Linked DNA regions of Tamandua tetradactyla. Each later gene encodes a partner of the first gene's protein in a complex. Links are inferred from orthologs where the notes say so. Each region holds a gene or a part of one and is shown on either strand. Other genes may lie near its edges.

What was found. Proteins that work in one complex are often made in the same cells at the same time.
Region 2: EIF3D (region 1) and EIF3K share a complex: the UniProt entries of both Homo sapiens proteins name them as parts of the eukaryotic translation initiation factor 3 (eIF-3) complex. The link is inferred for Tamandua tetradactyla from reciprocal best matches to the Homo sapiens genes EIF3D and EIF3K.

Annotation. Positions count from the first base shown.
Region 1 is NC_135333.1:28,871,101-28,878,242, forward strand, and holds the start of EIF3D (eukaryotic translation initiation factor 3 subunit D), read right to left. Parts: upstream 3,048-7,142; 5' UTR 2,866-3,047; intron 524-2,865; 5' UTR 515-523; coding exon 392-514; intron 91-391; coding exon 45-90; intron 1-44. UniProt on the Homo sapiens protein: mRNA cap-binding component of the eukaryotic translation initiation factor 3 (eIF-3) complex, a complex required for several steps in the initiation of protein synthesis of a specialized repertoire of mRNAs.
Region 2 is NC_135342.1:25,378,861-25,386,747, reverse strand, and holds the start of EIF3K (eukaryotic translation initiation factor 3 subunit K), read left to right. Parts: upstream 1-4,884; 5' UTR 4,885-4,983; coding exon 4,984-5,042; intron 5,043-6,708; coding exon 6,709-6,807; intron 6,808-7,887. Other genes in the region: MAP4K1 (mitogen-activated protein kinase kinase kinase kinase 1), read right to left, coding at 351-423, 506-548, 683-730, 826-881, 2,222-2,286, 3,065-3,155, 3,276-3,333, 3,513-3,579 and 1 more. UniProt on the Homo sapiens protein: Component of the eukaryotic translation initiation factor 3 (eIF-3) complex, which is required for several steps in the initiation of protein synthesis.

The DNA.
Region 1 (7,142 bases):
AAATCGTCACAAGGTCCTGATCCAGGCAGCTGAAGAATACTTACTTGTATACCTCTTATCCTGGTATGTGGCACCTGTCCAGTCTGCAACCTATTAAGAGCCATAAGGGAAGACAGAGAAAACATAGATCAACCAGTTAAGTTTCTTGTGATCCAGAAATCCCTGAAGTGAAAGGACACAATGTGATAGAGTATCAGAAGAACTGGTTCACAATGGCTTTTTAAGCACCCAGTTTTCCTATGATTACTCACAGAGGTTATAATCTTTCTCAGCTGGTATCACTATAAGGAACACAGGAGTTTGGCTTGTGAGAGAATAAAACTCAAATAGGAACTCCTGGAGAGAAGTACCGTCAGTTTAAAAGATGCAGAGACCATGGACAGGCAAGTACCTTTCCTAGCCGATCTCCTTTGCTGAATGGCTGGTAGGGCATATCCCGAAACTGCTCAGGAACTGCACAGGGACCCCAGCCTGAGGGGTTGTCCTGAATCACAGGAGTCATGAACTTCGCCATGTTCTAAAACTAAAAAATACAGAAAATGTGAGTTGCTACATGAAGGAAGTTCCCAAAATACAATTCAAAAAGCAACACACAATACAGAATATTCAACTGTGAAACTCTTACCAGTGTTTTCTTATAAATACTCTGAATAGTTAAAACTCAGAAGACTACTAGCCTAGTTAACATCTTTGAATTAAGGATGCACCTTATATTTGATGGTATGTCATAGCTTAACTTTCTTAATGTTACATAAAATGGTACTTTTTAAAATTAATGGTGTCTCAGATTTGATGAAATATGATAATATTTTTTTCAAGTGTGGTAACCACATTTGGTTCTTCCTTCACCATGGCATAGAACACTTCCCTAAGCTTCAGTCCCTGCATCTGTAAAATAAATGGAATCTGTTTTATCTGTATCATTGGATCACTGAGAAAGTCATATTAATTAACACATTTGAAAATGCTGTCTTTGTAAAATGCCTTGCAATTACTATTTGACTTGCAAAAATATATTTCTGAACAGAGTACTTAGAAAAAAAAAGAATCCTTCAGTATACCTTGAAATCTGACTTTCTTCTGTTGTCTAGTTTTCTATTATTGATGCAAATCCTACATGGAGCAAGTGGAAACAGAGCGAGGTAAAAGGGCTGCCAGAAAGGTGAGGTCACCAAAAACTTTAGGGCGGGGTAAGGGGTGTGGTATGTATGATTCTTTCGTTTTTATTTCTTTTTCTGGAGTTACGCAAGTGTTCTAAGAAATGATCGTACTGATGAATATACAACTATGTGATGAAACTGTGAGTGGTTGATTGTACACCAAGTATGGAATGTTCATATGTTAAGAATGTTCATGTTTGTATGTTGTTTTGTCAATAAAAATATTAAAAAAATAAATTATGTATGGATGAAAAACTATTTACAAATATTATGGGCACTAAGCCTTGTTCTTAGTGCTTGACATGCATTGATTCACTACATCCTCCAAGGAATCCTATGAAGTTGGGGCCAGTGTTATCCCCACTTTCTAGATAAGAAAACCAACGCTAAAGCCGCAATATTGATATTGATAAGGAATTTGAACACAGGCAATCTGGCTTGAGTCCATACTGTGCTGCTGTACCACCACTGCCATCATCATCATAATGCCACAATAGGTCCCCTCAGGAGATCAAACACCAGGGACTCTACGGCAGATGCTTGCCTTATAGCTCTCATCAAAAGCCTATGCATTTATTCATTGTAACTCCCTGACAACACTCGGAAGCATTTTCCCAGAGGAAAATTCATCACACAAATATCTCCTGGAAGCTGGAGAGCAATCAAAGAGCACAGCTGTACTGAAATTGGCAAACTGTCCTCATGGCCCCAAGACGGGGAGGTTGAGGGTTCCTGGGTGACAGCAACAGGAAATGAACCTGGGAGCATCATCTTCCAACTCTGAACTGAAGCTATATTACAGGGAGAGGAGTTCAGAAGGAAAGGGGTGGCAATCGCAACAATTCACATCCAGTAAGTATTTCTTGAGCTCCTAATTACATGCCAGGAAATGATACTAGATACTTTATCATCAGTAATCCTCACTCTCCCAATTTTAGAGAATAAAAAACGAGAAGCTCAGCCAAATTCCACGCAGCTGATCTGTCCATGGTTTCAAAATAAATTTGATTTCGGGGGCTGTTTGCTGCAAGTCCAGCATTCTTTCCATTCTATTATAGATGGACAGCAGCCAGGAAATATCTGGGGCTTTCAGACCAGACTTCTCCAGGCGATGGGAAGTAGTACCTGGGCTTCAGGCAGTGTAAAATAGTGAGAATAGAATGAGTACGGAAAACTGAGCCGTTCAGGCAAAACTATAAGGGCAGCTGTACTGGCCCCAGGAGCAGGATAGGGAGGCATCAACAATGCAATCAGAAGGGTGGTTGGGAGGCCATAGTGTTGCGTAGATTACCACGGTCACCACAGACCGTACGCCATCAATCCCCGAGGACAACTGCATTCTACCCTCCCATTTCACAAGGAAACCAATGAACTGTGAGATCCTCAAGGCAGGGGCCGAACACCGCTCAGGATGGCACCTCCAGTATTAAACTCATAGGAACTCAGATCACTTTTGAAGGGAGACCCTGAGATCCAGCAGGTTTGGGCAACAACCAAATTTGCCTAGCCTAAGGCAGCTAAGCGGAGCCTAGAGCCAGGGACCTCACACACAGGGCTGGGTCCCCTCAACCCTCACTGGGGGCTGCTGAAGACGCGGCGGCAGGAGCCGACGTAAAAGAGGTCTCTTCCGGGAGGCCCTGGAACGCCGAACCCAGCCCGGGCCGCTTCCGGGGGCCCGCAGGGTCCCACGGAAGACCCCGCTCACCTGCAACGGCCTCGGCCGGCCCAGATTGCGATAGATGGCCTGGGTCAGAGATCGTGCCACCGACAGCTCTCCCAGGAACCGGGAAAGGAGGAAAGATGCGCGCGCAATAGCCGGCGCCGTAAACAAAACCGGCGCTGTCGTAAACTGTGCGCCATCTTCCTCCGGATTCGGCAGAAGAATGCATGAGCCGTAAAGCTAAGGCAGTCCCGGAAGTTCGTCACTGCTCTTTATGAGGTGTCGGCGTTATTCTCCGAGGCGCCTAGACGCAAGAGGGTGGTTACAGTTACGATCAGACGGCGTCCGGTGACGCTCAGCATTGCGACGTGGCAGCCGTGCAATGGAAGATAGTGGCTGCGAGAGGCTGACAGACGCGCTGTATCCCACAGTGCTTCAACCGTCCTCTTCGGTACGCAGTGATCCGCGGCTCCTCCGCTTGCTCTAGTTAATCGTCTCGTTTGATTCTCACAGCAAGCGGGAGGAGCGAGTTTATTAATTTATTATTATTAACCTCCCCTTTTACAGTTGCGGACGCTGAGGCCGCCAGGTTCATGGTTCAAACGCTACTTACACAGTTTTAAACTTTATTGCTCGTCAGAGGTTTCTGGAGCGCTAGTTTTAATAAATGCAGGCTACGGATCTCACTTTCGTAGATTGTTATTCAAGTAATCTAAGCAGGAACCCAGGAATCTGCAATTTAATTAGCAACTGTGAGTCTGAAGTGGGGGACTCAGAAACACTTTACATTAGGCAAGTGTTGTCCCTTCTGCAGCTCCCAGCCAATAGATTTTGTCCAGGAGTCTTGAGCGGTTTCAAAACATTCTTCAGAAAGAAGCTGGGTGTGACTTTATTAAAATCCCAGATCCTTTTGTGCCTTGCCTCCTTGGTTTCCTGATCATACAGTTTGGAAGACTGTCCTTCATTGAAAGACATATCAGACCTTCATCTCTCTGAGCCTCAGTTTTCTTATAAGTAAGAAGGGGCTGATAATAAGGGGATACTGTGGGGGTAAAAATAGAGAATGCATGTCAAAGTACTTAGTAATTCCTCTAACCTGTTGGGGAACTTGGACAACTTATTTAACCTCTTTAAATCTTACTCATCTGGAAAATGAGAATGTGATAGCAGCGCCTATCTCCATAAGTTCTCTCCCAGTTGCCCTTGTTCTAGTTTTTCTGATTTTTGTTTGTGACAGCCAGTGAGTGGTGTTTAGGGCAAAACTTGTAGTCATAATTGGTAGCTCCTTTTCCCTTTGCATTACGTTCATTAAATACTCATTATTCAGCTTCCAAAATATATCTTAAACTACCATCTCTAGCCTGCAAACTTGGACTCCCACTCTTGCTTCCCTACGGCCCATTCTCCACATGGTGGCTAAAGCATCGTTCACAACCTTCTAGTGACTTCCCATTGTGTGCTTAGAATGAAATAAGAATGTCTTCCCATGGCCTGCCTGGTACTTGGTTCCCTTTCCACTTCATATGCTGCTGTTCTCCACTCACTGCTCCAGCTGCCATGGCTTTTTTGAACCCTGAACCCATCAGGCAGGGCCTCTGCACTTGCGTTCCTTCTACATGGCACACTCTTCCACAAATCAGCTCATGGTTGGCTTGGTCCCTCCATCTATGTCGCTACTCCAGAGTTGCCTCCTCAGAGAAGTCTTTTCATACCATCCTTTCTAAAATAGCTACTTTCCCCTTCATCCCTCCTCCTTCTCTGCTTTGTTTTCTTCATAGTTCTCATCACCATGTGAAATATTTGTTTCTTTGTTTAGGGTCTGTCTCCCCTCTAGAGTTTAAGCTACGTGAAAGTGTGGGCTTTGTCTGTCTTCCCTAGAGGAGTGTCTGGTAGTAGTATTTGTTGAATTGATTGTTGAATGGATTGGGGTTTTGGACAATTAAATGAGAAAATGCATGTAGCACATTACCCTGGGCACATAACTAAGCAATCAATAAATGCTGATATAAAATTAATATCAATAGTAAATTGAGTGTGTTCTGAAATATAAGGGCAAATGTATTTTTATTGATTCGCTTGGATCGTGTCTTTTCTTTTTTTGCTGTGGGCCTCTGGGCCATCTGCTGCAGCTTCCTTCCATGACTTGCCCAGTGTTTAATAATTTTCCCCATGTTTTGGTTCAGATGTCCCTGCCCACACCAGAGGGAGGAGTGCATGGAGTGTCCCATCTCGTTCTTTGTAGTGGGTCCCTGGATTTGGGTGAGAGATCTTGCCCCTGTTCCTCCTCCCAGCTGAGACTCCTGCTGCCACTATTTCTGCCTCTCCTGGTGCCCAATCTCTAGATGGCAGGAGAATGACCCTCCTTTATACTAAATCAGAGCATGCCTCATCTTCCCCAACTTCCCTGCCCTTAAAACCCTTCGGTGGCCTACCATTACTCTGAGGGTAAAGTCATAAACACCATTCCATGACCTACAAGGCCCTAAATGATCCTTCTTCCCTCTCCCAACTCAACCCTACTGTCTCCCCTTTCCCTTACTAGCAGCTTCCTCTTTCTGGAACACATCCAAGCCAGTTCCTACCTTTTAACCTGCTGTTCTCTAGGGCCTGGAATGGATTTCTCCTAGATTCATGTAGGCCTGTGTTCTTATCGAACAGGCTTTGTGTATGTGTGTGTGTGTGTGTATTTAATATTTTTATTGACAAAACAACATACAAACACAAGCAGTCTTAACATATGAATATTCCATACTTGATGTACAATCAATGCCTCATAATATCATCACATAATTGTATATTCATCACCGTGATCATTTCTCAGAACATTTGTATCACTCCAGAAAAAGAAATAAAAAGAAAAAACTCATACATACTACACTCCTTACCCCTCCTTCTCATTGACCACTAGTATTTCCATCTACCCAATATATTTTAACCTTTGTTCCCCCTATTTTTTTCCTATACCCCTTACCACTCTCATTGATCACTAGTATTTCAGCCTACTCAATTTAACACTTGTTCCCCCCATTATTTGTCCATATCTTTTACTCATCTGCCCATACTGTAGGTAAAAGGAGTATCAGATACAAGTTTTTCACAATCACACAGTCACATTGCAAAAGCTATATCATTACACAATCATCTTCAAGAAACATGGCTACTGGACACAGCTCTACAGTTTCAGGCACTTCCCTCTAGCCACTCTAACACACCTTAAACTAAAAAGGGGATATCTATATAATGCATAATAATAATCTCCAGGATAACCTCTTGACTCTTTGAAATCTCTCAGCCACTGACACTTTATTTTGTCTCATTTCTCTTTTCCCTCTTTTGGTTGAGAGGGTTTTCTCAACCCCTTCATGCTGAGTCCCAGCTCATTCTAGGGTTTTTGTCCCATGTTACCAGGGACGTTTACACTCCTGGGAGTCATGTCCCATGAGGAGAGGGGGAGGGCAGTGAGTTTGCTTGCCGTGTTGGCTGAGAGAGAGGCCACATCTGAGCAACAAAAGAGGTTCTCTGGGGGTGGCTTTTAAGGCCTAATTTTAAGTAGTCTTAGCCTGTCCTTTGTGGGGATAAGTTTCATATGAACAAACCCCAAGATTGAGGGTTTGACCTATTGATTTGGTTGTCCCTAAACAGGCTTTTCTTGACCACCCTTCTGAGCTGCTTCACTCTGCCTCATTAACTTTTTTTTATATTGTTACATTGAGCTTGTCGCTTACCTGGTACTTGTACCAAGACTTGCGTTAACTTATTTAATCCTCATCGCAACTCTGTGAGATAAGGACTATTATTCTCCTCATTTTACAGATAAGGAAGGTGGGGGTACAGTAAGATCACACTACATGCTCTAGGTCAAACAGAATACATGGCAAAGGTGGGGCTCAAACTCAGAAGACAGCCTGCCTCCAGCATCTTCCCATATCCCATTACTGCTTTGTTGGGATCCTAGCATTTATGTCGATCAGAAGTTACCGTACATTTATTTGCTTAATTATTTATTGTCTCGTTAGAAAGTTAGACTCCTGAGAGCAGAGGTTTTCCATGTCTTTTGTGTGGTGGTATCCCCAGCACCTGGAATCATGCTTAGCACTGGTAGGTTCTTGGGAAATGTTTGTTGGATGCATGAATGAACTCCCGTGCATCCATGGCAGATCCTTCCACTGCTGCTCTTGTCATATGCCTTGTTTTATTACTTAGGGGCCACCTAGATCTCACCCCCACCCCCAGTCTCTGGACTCCTCCAGTGTGGGGCTGCATTATTTGGGGTTGAACTGTCAGGGCTCAGCACTCCACCTGGCACCCAGAGTATGTGCCCA
Region 2 (7,887 bases), on another chromosome or scaffold:
GAGACATAAGGATGGAGAGGGAGATGCAGAGACAGACTGAGAGACAGAGAGGGGAAAGGCAGAAAGAGACGGAGATGGGGAGACCCAGAGATCAAGATAAAAATGAGACAAACACACTTAACCATGTATCTCCAAAATAAAAAGAGACAAGCACAGAAACAGGCAGAAAGAGGCACCAACAGACGTGGGGAAATGAAAAACTCAAGACAGAGCCAAAGATGACAGGATGTCCCACAGAGAAAGGCCAGGGGGAAAGGAGCCAGGAAAGAACTCTCCAGAGAACTAGGTGTGGGGGGGGGGGGGAGCAGCTGCTCCCCCCACCCCCCAGGGGCCTGCCAGGGAGCCCTCACCAGTAGGGCGTCCCAATGAAGGAGAGGCGTCGAGCCAGTGTCGCCCCGATCTGGGCCGAGATTCCAAAGTCAGCTGGAGGCAGAGGGAGAGACAGTGAGCTGGGGTCCCCTGCCCTCCCCCCAGGCCCCCTGCCCCCCTCACCAGCCACACTCACCCAGTCTGACCTCCCCAGCATCATTGATGAGGATATTGGCTCCCTGGAGGCAAGAGAGGGGTGAGAGACTGGCAGGGACCCTCTCCCCAGGCTCCCCTACCCGACAGCTCAACTACACCAAGCTCCCATCCCCTGGGGTCCCCATGCCCCCAATACCACCCCTCTGCCCCAGACCACCTTGATGTCTCGGTGTATCTTCTTCTGTGAGTGCAAATAGGCCAGCCCCTGGGGAGGAGGGTTGACAGGGGAGCTATGAGTACGGTATGAGGGTGGGGTGGGGAGCAGGGCCCTGCACCCACCACCCCCGGTCCTCTCCTTACCTGGAGCACTTCCCGGCAGACATAGCCGATCTGGAGTTCTGAGAGGGAGCCGGTCACTGCAGAGGCACAGGTCACCCAAGGCACAGCGTTGGGTGGGAAGCCAGGAAACCTGGATCCAGGTGTCCCCCGGCTCCAACCCACACTGGTTTGGGGAGTGAGGCGAGACAGAGAGCTGTCTAGCCACAGAGAAGCAGGAACGTGGGGAAACAGAGGCCCGGGGGAGACAGAGGAGATGGGTGCCTGGGGCCCTAAACAGACAGAGACCCTGCCATTGTGGGAGAGAACATTCCAGTGGGGAAGGGAGATAGTACATGAGAGAACCGAGCAAAATAGACCATGAGATGTTACCAAGTGGTGAGAAGCAAAACAAAGTAGGAAAGGACAACAGGAAATAAGTGTGGGGAGGGGTATGAAATTTTAGCCAGGGTGGTCAGGGACGGCCCCTCTGAGAAGATGGTATTTGGGTAACATGAGTTGCCCCACTCTGAGGAGAGTGAGAAGAGCAGGTGCAGAGGCCGGAGGCGGGAGTGGGCTGGTGGGAAAGTGGCGAGGTGGGTGGGGAGGAAAGCGGGGGGAGGAAAGGTCGGTCAGCTGGAGGGGGCCGGGATAGACTTGGGGACCCCTCCCATGAGGTCTTTGGGTAACTCTTCAGAGTTAGGTGATTGCAGGATGAGGTGAGGCAGAGATGCAGAGATGGAGAGAGACAGACAGAGGAGCAGGACAGATCCCAACTGAAGCAGAGAGAAAAAGAGATGATGAGGACACGTGGGAAACAGACATATCTAGAAAGAGAGAGACACAGAAGGGTGGAGAAGGAGGAGAAACAGACAGACAGTGAGACAGAGAAAGGTAGTCAGAGACCAGATATGACAGGCAGGCTGTGTGAGCCACTTCCTGTATGGGGGCCTCAGTTTCCCCTCCCTGAAGACTTCTGACATTTGAAGTCTTGGGCTGGAGGGAGTCAGGCATCAGAAATCCAGAGAGGTGTTCAGAGACCCACTCCACCTTCAAATTCTCCAAGAGTAAAGGGCAGCGTGAGAGAGAGAGAGATGCAGAAATTCATTCACTCATTTAACGAGTCCTTAGGCATCATCTACTCTGAGCCAGAAATGCGGAAATATTCAACCACATGGACAGAAAACTGTCTTGCTTGACAAGAAAATGCAGACACAGAGATGGGGGTAGGTGGAGAGAGGGGATCTTTGGAGGCAGAAAGATTTGGGCTGGGCTGTCAGGTCCTGGAGGGCAGGGCCCAGCCCAGAGCAGGGGGCTCAGTGTATGAACTATGGTCCAAAAAACCTATCCCAGGCAGAAGCAAACAGAGGGAGGCAGGAGGAGACCGAAGGGGTAGCCTGGAGGTACAGAGGGGGCCTGGATTCCTTCTCCCTCCTCTCACCCTGGTAGATGTCCTGGAGAGAACCAGCCCCGCAGAACTCCATGCAGATCCAGAGCTTTTGCAGCCTGCAGTGGTTCAATGACAATAATAAAATGATAATGTCAGGAACACTATTTGCAGGAGAGCCTCTAGGTCACTGTCTGTCTTATGCTAGTTCAACCAGCACACTAAGGGAACAGCAGTCATCTCTCTATCTCCCGTTGCCCGGCAGAGTGAAATTGTTCTGTCTCCATTTTACAGATAGCAAAAATGAAGAAAAAGAGAAGTGTGCTTTCAGAGTGAGCTGGACTCGAATACAGATCTTCAGAGCTCCAAACCCAGGGCACCCTCTGTTGTCCCATGCTAACCTAGGAGACAGGCAGGCATCTCAGAGGTTGGGGAGGTAGGAAGGGGAAAAGGGGCCCAGGGTGCCCCATCTGAGGGACAGTGATCATTGTTGGGGTATCTGGTATATTCATTTTTGGGTCAAGGAATTGAGGAGTTCATATTAATGAAGGAGAAAGTGAAACTCAGGGACTAAAAGGCCAGAATGATGACAGATTAGTTTGAAGAGACTCGAGTTTCAGGTTTAGTTGAAACTATGATGGGATCGTTTTGGGGACCCCTGGTCAGAAATGGGAGTTCTGAATTGGGGGTCAGAACAGGGGGTACTTTGGTCAGAAAACAGGTCTTGGGACTAGATATCAGTAGGGGTGCAGCAGTTAGAAATGGGGGTTCAGGATTGATGGTTAGGTTCTGGTGCTTGGATCAGAAATGGTAGCTCATGTTAGGTGCCCCAGTCAGAAATGAGGGTTCTGGTTTGGGGGCTGGACTGGCTCCCTAGGCAGGGCCCAGGCCCCTCACCAGAGATAGCTCCCATGGTAGGCCACGATGTTGGCATGCCGGCAAGTTTTCAAGATGAGGATTTCCTTCTGAAGGGTTGAGACATCATCGTCTGCGAGGAGGGGGAGAGAAGCAGCAGCAGCTGGAGGATGGGGCAATGGGGGAGGCCATCCTGGTGTCCCAGGAGGTGGGGGGAGGGGAGGAGGAGGGAGCTCCTGGGTCCTCATCTCACCAGGCTCCATCTTCACCATTTTCAATGCCACCAGGTCCCTCGTCACCTTGTCTCGGGCCTTGTAAGGGGAAGTTGGAAGTCATTAAGGCCCGGCTGGCCTGAGTCCTTCCTCAGCATCCCTGAGCCAAGGCCAAGGACCCATGCATACCTTTCCTTTCCCAGGCCTCCTCCCAAAGGTCACTGCTTAGAAGGTGATAGAGAAGGGAGGTGGGGGGTGGGGGGTGAAGGGCTCCTCACCTTGAAGACTTCCCCGTAGGTGCCGCCCCCCAGCCGTTGCAGCAAGTCATAGTGGTCCCGGGGGTCCCTATTAAAGATATCAGGGTCCACGAGGTCCATCCCTGGGGGCCGGAGCTGGGCCTGTGCCCAGGGGCCAGCAGGGCCTCAGGGCTGGAGTGCTGGAACCTCCCTCCCTCCCTATACACCAGCCACCAGCCTTGCATAGGCAGGCTGCGGCCTCAGGCTGCGGCCTCCCCCCTCCCCACTCTCGCTTCCTGCCCCGATGCAGGGCGGTGCAACCGGCTCCACCCCCTGTCCCTTGGGCCTTGAAAGCTGTGAGGGGCAGCTTGCCTTGGGACCCAGGGGACCCTGATCCACCCCAGGCGCCAGGGCTGGATGTAACGAAATGCAAATGATCTTTATTGCGACCGGGGGTGGGGAGGGGGGGGGCTGCTTCAGCACCTCCTCCCCCTATTTTGGGTCAGGGCCATAGCTGAAGCTCTGCTGAATGCTTGAGGGTTTGGGCACAACTTGCAGGTGGCAGATCTGCACAGGCCATGCAATGTACATGCCTGTACATTGGGAAACATACATGCACTTACGTAGTACTCGCCTGTGCTGTTCATAGACCTGCAGACGTAGTACATTCCTGTTTACCTGTGTACACAAATGTGGATGTACCCAGAGCACACGCCTCCATATTCACGCACATGGCCGGGCACTCGCACCCGTAATACGCATTCTAAACATACTTGGGGGGCTCGCCTTCTGCCCCAAGACTGGAGCCCCGTGGATAATGAACACACACACACACACACACACACACACACACACCAGGCCCCGTGGAGAATGAACACACACACACACACCCCAGCCCCCACCAGCCCAACGGGGCTCTCCCCCTGGAGCTGGGGTGGAAGGTGAGGACAGGGTTCAGGACTTCAAACTGGGGTCGGTCTCAGGGTTCTGCCTCAAGTGCCCAGGCCTCACGCATGGGCGACCTCAAAGCGTACAGCCTTTGAGAGTTACCCCAGAGGGAGAGCATCAACGTATAATCCCACAGGGTTTTGTGAATTCACCGCCACGAGCAAAACGACGAGCTCGCAAACCATCAGAGTTCCGTCTCCTTCCGGGAGAAGTACTTGAGCACAGACGCACGCGCTCCGAGACCTGGAACGCGAGGCCCGGGAAAAGCCTAGCCCCGCCTTCCCGTCCACAGAGGGCGCCTGCGCACTAGGGTAGAGTAAGCTTTTTGTCATGCTACTGGTCCAAGCGCTGGAGGAGCGAATGCGCACGCGCCATAAACGCGTGCTGAGAAGAAGTCACGTGGTAGCTGAAAAGCGTGGCGACCGCTGCAACAATCCTGAGAGGGGGCGCGGTGAAACAACAAAACGTATTTCCGCTTCCGCAACCTCTTCCGCTTCCGGCCCTTGAGGACGCTGCACGGGTTCTGACTTGGGTTCAATTGCTGGTGTGGGAAACGGCGGTAATCATGGCGATGTTTGAACAGATGAGAGCGAACGTGGGCAAGTTGCTCAAGGGTATCGACAGGTCTGAGCATGGTCGGAGGGAGCGCTTCTGGCCAGGCGGGGGGGAGGAGAGGATTTTCCAGAGACATCGAGGGGTAGTCAGGGTGCCTGGCCGGTTCTGGGGTGGTGTCTCCCCGTCAGTTTAAGTGTCTGTGTATGTGTAAGAATTCATTCTGAAGGAGGATATTTCTAAGGAAATAGCGCTGCGAAGAACCTAGAGGCAAGAGAGAACCTTGTCTATGACTCATCTCCCCCAACTTGATTGCCTTCAGGTCTCCTCGCCTTGTTCCTCAGCCTTCCCTCTCTCAGCACCCCCAGCCTCCTGTCTCTTAGCTCCTCATTCTCAGTGTCTTTCTCAATGCCTCTTAGTCTCGCTCCTCTTTCTACCTCATGTTACTTATTCAACATATGTTCACAGAAATATGTTCTGTCAGTGGAGGGCGATACTAGGGATCCAGCGGTGACCAAGAGAGCCGCTCACCCTGGGTTCATGAAGTTCCTGGTCCAGAGGCGAGCCAGAACCACAGTAGAAAGTGATCGCTGGAAATGGACAGGACTCTGATGGGGAAGCGAAGGCCAGGTTGAGTCTGATGGCTCTGATGCGGGGTAATACAGACAGGAGTGAGGGCTGGAGTGGGAAAGCACAGGCAGAGGTAGAGGATGGGATGGGGAGAACTCAGGGGGCTGTGGGAATCTGAGGTAGAGGAGACATCTGACTCCGCCTGGGTCAGGCGAGGCTTTTTAAGGTGGTGAAGTCAAAGTTAAGACCTGGAAAATGAGTGGAAGTAAAGTAAATGAAGAGGGATAGGGAAAGACTAGAGCCAGATAAGAGTGGGAAGAATGATGTTCCAGGTGGAGGAAACATGTCAAAGACTCTGAGATGAGATGAGCTTAGTGATTTTAGGAGTTGAAAGACTTTTTTTTTTTAATATATGTTGTATGGCTGGGTCACACTTCGTTATTTTTCCATGTGAATATCCCATTATTGCAGCACCCTTTGTTGAATTTTTGTTTGCTTATTTTTTTGATTGTTTATTATGCTTGTTTTTGGAAAGTGCATGGGCCAGGAATCAAACCCGGGTCTCCCACATGTCAGGCGAAAATTACACCATTGAACTATCCTTGCACTCTCAAAAGCCATTCATTTATTACAGTTAGGCTAAAATGTGGAGTGAGAGTCAGAAGTGGTGAAAGATGGAACCAACTACATTGCAAGGGCCCAGATCATGGAGGGAAAACATGGGGACCATAGAATGACTTTATGTAGATGAACCTGGTCGTATCTGTGCTTTAGAAAAATCCCTCTGGCTGTTGTATGGAGAATGGAGTCAGGGTTGAATCTGGGGAAAGGTGTAAGACTAGGTAGGAAAGGATGGAGCTGGAGCAGAGTAAGTGGGATTCTGAGAAGGGAAGGAAAGGGTGGGTAATAGAGATGTTTGGGAGGCCAAACACACAGACTGCAGGGACTGATGGGCTGAGGGGGGGTGGCGATGGGGCATCCAGGGATCCGTTGGGATCTGGAGCATAGCAGAAAGTCTGAGCTAGATTTTACTAGAGGTTATAATGCTAATTCAACATTGGAGTGTGCCAGGTGCTCAGTGCCAGATTTAGAAGGAAGGACTAAAGGGCCCCATAAAGTGGCTTCAGCTCTGTCTCCTTATTACTCACCTATTTTCTTCCTCTTTTAGATACAATCCTGAGAATCTGGCCACTCTGGAGCGCTATGTAGAGACGCAGGCCAAGGAAAATGCTTATGATCTGGAAGCCAACCTAGCTGTCCTGAAGCTGTGAGTATCTGCCCCCACTGCCACTCCTGTGCCAGCAGAACGGTACCACCCCCAAAACAGGGTAGGGCTGAGAGGGTTAACCTGTAAGATATGGCTTTTCTTGGTTTGCAAGACTAGGAAGCTACAGAAGTTGGAGGGGGGTTGGTGGGGTGGGGGGGGTACTTATAAAACATTAATTGCAAAACACATTACAAGATAGTATGTAAAATAAATATACAGTTTAACAAATAAAAGCAAATACCCATGTAATCAATCATATTGCAAAATCAAGTGCTGCCAGTGCCCTCAGAGCCCATGTGCTCTATACCAGCCAAACCCCTACCCCGATTTTGGTAACTACTCACATGGCCTGGTTTTCTGTGATAGTTGACTGCATATGCATGTATCCTGATCAATTTAGCTTAGTTTTCCCTGCTTTGAACTTAACATAAATAGAATTCTGCAGCATGATGTGTCTGCCATCTTCTGCTCAAAACTGGGATTGTGAGAACCATCCTTTTTTTGTGTGTGTGGTGTATGTGACTGCTGTTTGTTAATTATCATTGCTGGATAATACTCCACTGTGTGACTCTGTCCTGCTTATCTGTTCTCTTATTGATGGACATTTCAGTTCTTCCCTCTTGGGAGCTTTCTTGACATACTACCAGCTGTGTAATTGTTTTTTTAATTGATAAATCTTCACACACACATGGTTATTCATGGTATACAATCAGTTGCTTACAATATCATCACGTAGTTGTGTATTCATCACCATGATCATTTTCAGAACATTTGTATCACTCCAGAAAAAGAAATTGGAAAAAAGACCTCCCTCTCATTAACCACCAATATTTCCATCTACTCACTTTATTTTACTCCTTATCTGCCATTAATGCATATTTTTTTTACTCATCTGTTCATACCCTGGATTAAAGAAGCATCAGACACGAGATTTACACAGTCACAGTCACATTGTTAATCTTACATCTTTATACAGTTGCCTTGGAGAATTGAGGCTACTAGAACACAGCTCAACAGTTTCAGTTACTTCCCTCCAGCCACTCCAATATACCATAAACTAAAAAGGGATATCTGTCTAAT